Saccharomyces cerevisiae S288C: one gene and its partners. The gene in region 3 interacts genetically with the main gene of each other region. Each region holds a gene or a part of one and is shown on either strand. Other genes may lie near its edges. The genes, in order: SDD1, YER187W and PRM15.

Region 1 (2,941 bases), on a different chromosome or scaffold from region 3:
AGCAAATGGACATGGTACGATTATATTCAGCGAAAAATTTCATCGAACTATCAAATCTGAATTATCCAAGTCCAAGTTAAATGGTGATACGTTAGCTTTGAGAACTTTGAAGTGTTTCTCTGAATTGATTAATCAGACCGTGGGAGATGCTATTTCAGACATGCTTGCTGTCCTTGCTACTTTGGCGATTTTGAAAATGTCGCCAATGGATTGGGATGAAGAGTATACTGATTTGCCCAACAAGCTGGTTAAGTGCATCGTTCCTGATAGGTCAATTTTCCAAACCACGGACCAGGAAAGAAAATTGCTCAATCCAGTGGGGTTGCAAGACAAGATAGATCTTGTGGTAGCCAAGTATCCCATGGGAAGAAGCTTTGTCAGAGCCAGTGGTACGGAGGATGCGGTGAGGGTTTATGCGGAATGTAAGGACTCCTCTAAGTTAGGTCAATTTTGTGACGAAGTGGTGGAGCACGTTAAGGCATCTGCTTGAAAGCATTATTCGATGTATAGTATAGCTATTTAGATATACAGAGAGATAAATGAAAGAGAAAAAATATTGGTATCAATCAACGTTTGTTACAGGCTTAGACTTTGGTTTGGTAATTGAAATTCATGGTAGTGGAAATAAACAAAATTTTCCTCTTCAATTTTTTTCGTCGTTTCGCTCTGCAATCGAAAATCAAATAATCTTCATAAAAGAAATCACTTTCAATAAATGAACTTCTCACTACCATAATGGATGATGTGGCCGATTCGAAAGCAATACGGTTGATTAACACGGAAACCCCGAGTGATAAGTCACCAAAAAAAATTCTCTTTACGATGAATGTTCCGAATTTGTTCTCCTCTTTACAGTTTTCGTTGGAAAGGTATTTATATGTAATTTCCTTCAGAATTCTCTTGTTTTCTATGTTGGCATTGTCGAGATGAACCTGTTTCAGTATGGCATTGGGAAAAAGTGTAGCTTGTAACTTTAAAACTTGATCATGCAGTGTTGCAGCTAAATTATCCAGAGTAAAAATTTCCTCTTTGGAGTAAATGCCTAGCAAGTTTTTCAGCTGACTACTCCAACCTCGCCTGGCCCTGTGCTTTCTACTTACACAATCTTTGTGATTTGGTGGTAAGGTTTTTGGAAAATGAGGAAGAGTATCTAGTTGTTGGGTAATGTTTCTTTCCAAGAATGATATTTTTTTCATTATGACGTCAATTTCTTTAGAATAAGCCGAGAACTGTACAGTTTTAAAACCCTTTCTGTTGTCATTCCTCTGAATCCCATCATTTGCCATTTAATTTTCAATTTAGTTACTAGTCAATTTTCTTTTTCGCCTTTTGTATTCCATAATATGAATATAAGCTTGGGCTTGCCGATTTTCTCCGCTTAATATTAAGCCTACGCATGATGTAGGTTACATTTTGAAGGGTTTCTTTTAACTTCCTTACTTATTTATATATGTATGAACCTACACAAGGCATTTTACCCTTATTTCTTCCCGCAACATTTGATAAAAAGTGGAAGACGTTTGTGATTGTTATTATCGCCCCAATTTTCTCCTTTTTTTCTTTTCCTTCAACGTCAATCAATTGCACATTCAGCCGATTGGCTTTCTTAGCGCAGGATAGGGTGTCGGGGATACCTGTGGGAAGTTAGTGACACTTTTTTTTCCACTCTCTTCATGGAATCCCCGGACGGCAGCCGCCCGTCCCAATTTTGGCAAAATTGACATCCTAACTGCACGAATTCTCATCGCGTATCAGAACTCTTGAGCCTTCAGTTTTACTACTCAATGCTCTGATTTATCTATATATACATAAATGAAAATAATACGTGCGCATTTATAAGACAAAAAGTTAGAATTCTGACCACGATTGCATGCTGTAGATAATTGTCGTGTTCATTCTCTCTTTAACGGCGCCTCAAGAAGAATATAAAATAATTGCTCTTGCAGTCTCAATGAGTCGGTATGTTCAAAGTGGTGCCCAACATTTACTAATATTGGACTGCGGTACAAAATCGGCGGCTAAACTGTCTACCGATAAAATACTCTTGATTTATAAGAATGAAAAAGAAAACAAAAAGGGATGACCCCTGAAAAAGTTTGTTTTCTTTACCCTTTTTTATGTTAAATTTTACATTTATTACCGTTTACGTCAATCGCAATATACAGGTGGGGCATTGTTATTTGATTTCATAATCTGGTGAGAACGTTATCACGCGGATTATTTAGTTTTTTTAAACCATGTGCGAAGAAATTCTCATATATTGTAGGCATTTCTGACTCAAACTTCTGCTGCTTAAAATAGCTGTTTTCACCTTTTTTTTCCTCTTGTTCTATTTGACATGCTCCCTTTCTTCCTCGGTCCTTTCAACCATTTCCATGCTCCTGTAGGCTCAGGAGCAGAGCGAGGAAAAAACTTCCCTACAGAAAGCTTTCATGTTTTTAACCGGTTTCCTTTCAGCTTTTTCTTTTGGAGTAATCTAGAAAGATTAGGTCATTTGTTCAGTCTATTTGATACTTGATGAGTAGCTCGTCTGTTCTGTTCAAAATAACAATTTGTGAGGTGTACGGATGTTTTCACTGGCATTCGTCGACATGACAAAGACAAACCTTGAAAATAATAATGGAGAATAACTAGAAAGACGTTACTATGCCTCTAATACTTCTGCCTCTCTTATCTCTCCTATCAATTGTGGTTAGCCTAGTAGTCACCAAATAGCAAATTACCAATCAACTATGGAAAACCAAGAGAAACCGCTTTCTGTAGACGAGGAGTACGATTTATGGAAATCCAATGTTCCATTAATGTATGACTTTGTTAGCGAGACACGTTTAACATGGCCATCTTTAACCGTCCAATGGCTCCCTACTCCTGTTCAAGAATTAGATGGTGGCTTTATTAAACAAGAATTAATCATCGGTACGCACACTTCTGGTGAAGAAGA
Region 2 (2,875 bases), on a different chromosome or scaffold from region 3:
AACTCTTAACAATGTGGGCAAATATGCGTATGATTTCGTTCTGGGAAAGGATAGTAAGAAGCCTTTTTGATTACAAAACCGTGAAAGACGGTTTAGCAGCTTTTACAGGAAACCTGCTTTACCTTAGCCAGTGTTTTCTCATCTTCAAAAAAAAGTATTGTACGCAACTCTTCCATCTAGCAGAGCTCCCGCTCTTTTTCAAACAAGTTTCATTATATTTATTCTTAATAATTTTGGTATCATCGAGGTGAGGTCTTCGTTGTTTCAACACCAGCTATTTTTCAGCGGCTTACAATTACGTAGTTCTATTAACGAATACACTGGGAGGTGAGTATAATCATGGACTGTAACACTATACGACTCCAACACGTTATATGTATCAGTTATATATATATATTATATTATTTTGGGAAGAGTAGCATTGCTTTTGAAAGTACACGGGGTTTACTTTGGCTCATAGAATGGGTCTGGATATGAAATTCTGAAATATTCAGATTTTGGAGTACTGAAAATATTTAGCAAGAATTTCAAATATTAGTTAGTAAACCAAACCAAGGCATCTGAACTTGAACCTCCATAACTCGCTTTCTAACATAATGAGCTTGTATGACATAATATTATAGAACTCGAGGTTAACCTTTAAATATAAATATAGTAATCTTCATGATAATAATTTCAGGGTAGTGCGCGTATTTGTCGAAAAAACGCAAAATGACAGAAATTCTATGTTTACTGACTTTAGATTTTGTTTTAGATCAATTGGCGGAAAAAGGACGCAGTCTGTAACTTTGATTGGCATCTTGATTTGATTTGTTGGGTGGTTCTCTTACAATCAATGGTTTATTTCATGGAAAGCTTGATGACATGTGATAGCACACCATGCTAATTAGTGAAAAGAGTCCTTGTTGACTTACCACATGTGCAGCCGCCTTTTACCGTGGTGCGAAGCATATTGAGCGGCCTGGAGACCAAGAATGTCAGGGCCTTTAAACAATAGAAGAAGTGTATAGGAAAAAACTAAGGTGTTTTGAGATATTTTTTATAAAAGTAGTATTTCTTAAAAATCAGCGGGGAGCCATTCTTTGAAGGCGCGCTTGCAAATTTTAGGTATTGGGCTTGATTATTTTGGCAAGTGTCATGCATTGTAACAAATCTATATAAAGTGACAATTCTGGAACACTGTATCGTAATCCCAAATAATGTATGTAGAATAGAAAAAAATATATGAAAAAATGAATAGATCATACACAGACGACATGAATAGCAGCCCTCCAAATTACTTGACAACAAGGACGTTTAGAATCGTTAGATTGTTTGCAATAATTTTTGCACTGCTTTTGGTAGCGTACTCATTATTTTTAAGCACACTTAGAACTGGAGCTATACCTGACCGCGCCAACACTGCTGCTCTAGTACGGCGAGCTAGGTGATCATTTGCGACTGGATTAGGACTAGGAGGATTTTTAATTGCTGCAGCCGCTTATGCTACTCCTTACTGGGTCGCAGCAACCTGTATCGCATCCACTAGCGGAATATGTTCACCTATAGCTGGTGCTGTTTTAGCAACTTCAGCAGTTATAGTTGCAGCAGTTTTAGTGGGAAAGAGTTCTGGCTCAGCAACAAAGCGAGGGTTAAGTGAGACTATTAATGTACTGAATCATACTATAACACTCACTGATCATGTGCTCAATGGGCAAACATTGTCTAATGGTACTGGTAGTAATTTTGTTACAATAGAGTTTAGTGGGTATGCAGTACATGACACTATTAAACGTGACGGTGCTGCTGAGATCAACTTTGTGGGGTATACTACGGAGCATGGAACCCACATCAGCACGAGTAGCGTACATAATGTGAGCATGCTCATCGATCAAATCGTGGCAGCGGTACCAGGGGTACCTGATATAAGTGGCAACGCTTCGGCCCTATCGTTACAGAGACGCAGTCAAGAGTTCGCCACCTCATGGATATCAATGACATATAGTCAGAGTTATGGTGACCTGGCACAGAACTGGCAGAATGACGAAGGTGGAGCAGGAAATTTTGATTCTTATGCTGAAGAGAAGTTACAGAATTTCTTTTCAGGTAATAGGGATTGGAAATACTGCTTTGCTGCTGAGGACACGAAAAACGGTGAGCCACTTGATTACGATGACATACCTGGTGACGGTGCAGGCACGGGTTCGGCATTCAAGTCTGAGATATATTTTAACACTTACGGTGGTATAGATAATTATTGTAATGACGAGCATATCGGTGCTCAGAACACTGGAGATGGTCGATAAAGCTTTACGCCTGTCGCTGAATTGACTGACCCGAAATTAAGAACTGTTGACGTAGTGAATTACGATCTAGTTTATATGTCATAATGTAGTAAGTTTATTGGACCCTTCTATATGTTATGTAAATGTAATAATTACATAGTTACTGCTTTTGTACATAGAAACTATAGTTTCTTAAGTACTACCGGATTAGAGGTTTGCTACTATATGTTTTCCTTGTCTCAAGCATTACTGAAACAACTCTGAAACAATACTAAAACATTACTCATATCATGCTTTTGGGTTACCACATTCAACAATAACTCGAATACATTTATAAAAAAAACAAAACTAAGGTACAAAACACACACCACACCACATACGCGCTGATTGGTTTTATGGAAGCTAATAGTTCAGACATAGCTCAGAAAAATAATAATAAGTATTATCAAATATAACTCATCTGGTTACATGCTAAGTTCTTGTCAAGTGATATAGCGTTATCTTTATTATTGAATTAAATTCTATAATTAGAATTCGACTACACCAACTAATGACTCTAAAAAATATGTGATTGCCCTTCAAGATTGCATTATTTCTCAATGCATTACATA
Region 3 (4,228 bases):
AATGGCTACAAGGGCTTATGCCTTGCAAATTGCCAAAATCGTGGACCCTACGGGCGAATTGTTTGGCGATAGAATTCTGTCGCGTGATGAAAATGGGTCTCTAACAACTAAATCATTAGCTAAACTTTTCCCCACTGACCAGTCAATGGTTGTAGTTATTGACGACAGAGGTGATGTTTGGAATTGGTGTCCAAACTTGATCAAAGTTGTTCCTTATAACTTCTTCGTTGGTGTAGGTGACATTAATTCTAATTTCTTGCCCAAACAATCTACAGGAATGCTACAACTAGGGAGGAAGACAAGACAGAAGAGCCAAGAATCTCAGGAACTGCTGACGGATATTATGGATAACGAAAAAAAACTACAAGAAAAGATAGATAAAGAAGTTAAACGCCAAGAAGAAAAATTGAACCATCAACTGGCGACTGCTGAGGAGCCTCCTGCGAACGAATCCAAAGAAGAGTTGACCAAGAAACTAGAATATTCAGCATCTTTAGAAGTCCAACAACAAAATCGACCCTTGGCCAAACTACAAAAACACCTGCATGATCAAAAACTACTAGTTGATGACGATGATGAACTATACTACTTAATGGGTACGCTATCAAACATTCACAAAACTTATTATGATATGCTCTCACAACAAAATGAGCCAGAACCAAATCTGATGGAAATCATACCAAGTTTGAAGCAAAAAGTCTTCCAAAATTGCTATTTTGTTTTTTCAGGATTAATACCCCTCGGGACCGATATTCAAAGGTCGGACATAGTGATATGGACGAGTACATTTGGTGCCACTTCCACTCCAGATATAGATTACCTGACGACACATTTAATCACCAAGAACCCTAGCACTTATAAAGCGCGTCTAGCGAAAAAGTTCAACCCACAGATTAAAATTGTTCACCCAGATTGGATATTTGAGTGTTTGGTAAATTGGAAAAAGGTGGATGAAAAACCCTACACGTTAATCGTGGACAGCCCCATCTCCGACGAGGAATTACAAAACTTTCAAACACAATTACAAAAAAGACAAGAATATCTGGAGGAGACCCAGGAACAACAGCATATGTTGACATCACAAGAAAATCTAAATTTATTCGCTGCTGGTACTTCATGGTTAAACAATGACGACGATGAAGATATTCCGGACACAGCTAGCGACGACGACGAAGATGACGACCACGACGACGAAAGTGATGACGAAAACAACTCGGAAGGCATTGACAGAAAGAGGAGCATCGAGGACAATCATGATGATACATCACAAAAGAAGACCAAGGCGGAACCTTCTCAAGATGGTCCTGTACAACATAAAGGAGAAGGGGATGACAACGAAGACAGCGATTCGCAGTTGGAGGAAGAGTTGATGGATATGCTGGATGATTAGCAGCTCAGATGCCGTATCTTTCCACACATTTTCCTCATTGGTCTTTGTACCTATAATTGTTCATATTATATATACGTTTGTAACAAATCGATAAATAGCAACAATATTTTTGCTTATTTTGATATCCTGAAATCCTTTTTTTTTTTTTTTTTTTTTTTTTTTTTTTTTTGATTTCATTTCGTTTTTTTTTTTTGAACATTATATATTGTATTGTTTTCTCCCTGTAGCGAGAACTAATTGATTCTTTCTCCTTTCCCCCTAAATACTCAACAGTACTCTCGAGCCATTAGCTGCTGCAATTTCAAAAAATGTTGCAAGGAATTTTAGAAACCGTACCATCTGACTTGAAAGATCCGATATCATTATGGTTTAAGCAAGACCGCAACCCAAAAACTATAGAAGAGGTCACCGCTCTCTGCAAAAAATCCGACTGGAATGAGTTACACAAAAGATTTGATTCTAGAATTCAGTTTGGCACTGCTGGTTTAAGATCGCAAATGCAAGCTGGCTTTAGCAGGATGAATACTTTAGTAGTCATACAAGCGTCTCAGGGATTGGCAACTTATGTAAGACAACAGTTTCCAGACAATTTGGTAGCTGTTGTGGGACACGATCATAGATTCCATTCTAAGGAGTTCGCTAGAGCTACTGCTGCTGCATTTCTTTTAAAAGGATTTAAGGTACATTATTTGAATCCTGACCACGAATTTGTTCATACCCCTTTAGTTCCCTTTGCAGTGGATAAGCTAAAGGCCTCCGTTGGCGTAATGATAACAGCAAGTCACAACCCAAAAATGGATAATGGATATAAAGTATACTATTCCAATGGATGCCAAATCATTCCACCTCACGATCATGCCATCTCTGATTCCATTGACGCAAATTTAGAACCATGGGCCAATGTGTGGGATTTCGACGATGTTCTAAATAAGGCTCTCAAACAAGGGAAATTGATGTATTCCAGAGAAGAAATGCTGAAGTTATATTTAGAGGAGGTTTCTAAAAATCTGGTAGAAATCAACCCATTAAAGCTTGAAGTAAAAGCCAAACCTTGGTTCGTTTACACTCCAATGCATGGGGTTGGATTTGACATTTTCAGCACCATCGTAAAAAAAACACTGTGCCTGGTAGAAGGTAAGGATTACCTATGTGTTCCTGAACAACAAAATCCAGATCCTTCTTTCCCAACTGTTGGATTTCCTAACCCTGAAGAAAAAGGTGCTTTAGACATTGGTATAAACTTGGCTGAAAAACATGACATTGACTTACTTGTTGCCAACGACCCTGACGCTGATAGATTCTCTGTTGCTGTTAAAGATATGCAGTCAGGCGAATGGCGACAACTAACAGGTAACGAAATCGGTTTTCTTTTTGCATTTTATGAATATCAGAAATATAAAAGTATGGACAAAGAATTTCAGCACGTTCATCCGTTGGCTATGTTAAATTCAACAGTGTCTTCACAAATGATAAAAAAAATGGCAGAAATAGAAGGGTTCCATTATGAGGATACATTAACAGGATTTAAGTGGATCGGAAATCGTGCCATACTCTTGGAAAAGAAAGGCTATTACGTTCCTTTTGGATTCGAGGAAGCAATAGGCTACATGTTTCCAGCAATGGAGCATGATAAGGATGGTATCAGTGCATCCATTGTCTTCTTGCAAGCCTACTGTAAGTGGAAAATAGACCACAATTTGGACCCGCTAAATGTCTTAGAAAATGGCTTCAAAAAATATGGCGTGTTCAAAGAGTACAATGGCTATTATGTCGTTCCAAATCCAACTGTTACAAAAGATATATTTGACTACATCAGGAATGTCTACACTCCTGAGGGCGCGTCATATCCTTCATCTATTGGTGAAGAAATCGAAGTACTTTACTATCGAGATTTAACCACTGGTTACCAATCGGATACCATAAATCATAAACCTACTCTACCCGTCGATCCTACATCACAAATGATAACAGTATCTGCTAGACCAAGTAACGGTAGTGAGAATGAGCATATCCGCTTCACTATTCGCGGGTCCGGAACAGAACCAAAACTTAAAGTATATATTGAAGCTTGCGCAAATGAAGAACAAAGAGCCTCTTTCTTGGCGAAATTGACTTGGAATGTGCTGAGACGTGAATGGTTTAGACCAGATGAAATGAATATAGTTACAAAATTTTGATACTATTTTAACCTATACATTAAGACCAAGCGACTTAAAGAATGCCATTATATTTGTTGTTTGTACCTACACTTATATCAATATACATTTAACTAGTTTATGCCTCCAAACTTCTATCTTCAGATTTTCTGTGTCGATTCCAAAGGTTTTCAAGCATGTAAGTCACACTAATCACAACACCAAGAGAAGCGAGCCCAACTCCCAGATATACAGCTGCTCGGTAACCTTTCAACAAATCATTGCCGCTTTTATTAATTTGGTGTTCAACAGTGCCTCCCATACCTAAACATAGAGACGCTGAATAATTAATAACGGTGTTTACTAATGATCCAGCCATACCTTGATACTGCATTGGAAGCCCGTCACTCAATATAATGGATGATGCCGGGAAGGACAGGTCCATACCAAAACATAAGATAGCCTGCATCGCAAAGTTCAACTTCCAATAGCTTTGTTCCACTGGCAATACACTAAACATTATGGAACCAGCGTCAAATGCCATTAGTGAAAAACATAGTAGTAGAGCTGGTCCTAATCTCTTGATAGAAAAGGCAACGAAGAATGCAGCCATGGATCCGAAAATTACGAAAACGAAATACGTACCTCCGGTCCAAACAGGACTGTAATGCCTCAAATTTAGTTGGAAGGAAACATAATAGAA

Evidence for each region.
Region 1: mutations in PRM15 (region 3) and SDD1 together harm fitness more than expected from each alone (negative genetic interaction), as found in Saccharomyces cerevisiae (one large-scale study listed by BioGRID).
Region 2: mutations in PRM15 (region 3) and YER187W together harm fitness more than expected from each alone (negative genetic interaction), as found in Saccharomyces cerevisiae (one large-scale study listed by BioGRID).

What each region holds. Positions count from the first base shown.
Region 1 is NC_001137.3:44,436-47,376, forward strand, and holds SDD1 (Sdd1p), read right to left. Parts: upstream 1,287-2,941; coding exon 585-1,286; downstream 1-584. Other genes in the region: phosphoacetylglucosamine mutase PCM1, read left to right, coding at 1-490; HAT2 (Hat2p), read left to right, coding at 2,733-2,941. UniProt on the Saccharomyces cerevisiae protein: Acts as an endogenous target of the ribosome quality control (RQC) pathway. During translation, the nascent chain has a propensity to stall ribosomes, thereby stimulating activation of the RQC pathway.
Region 2 is NC_001137.3:564,371-567,245, forward strand, and holds YER187W (uncharacterized protein), read left to right. Parts: upstream 1-1,859; coding exon 1,860-2,285; downstream 2,286-2,875.
Region 3 is NC_001145.3:821,065-825,292, forward strand, and holds PRM15 (phosphoribomutase PRM15), read left to right. Parts: upstream 1-1,698; coding exon 1,699-3,567; downstream 3,568-4,228. Other genes in the region: FCP1 (protein serine/threonine phosphatase), read left to right, coding at 1-1,390; ATR2 (Atr2p), read right to left, coding at 3,665-4,228. UniProt on the Saccharomyces cerevisiae protein: Major phosphoribomutase that converts ribose 1-phosphate to ribose 5-phosphate. Involved in ribose salvage via the pentose phosphate pathway.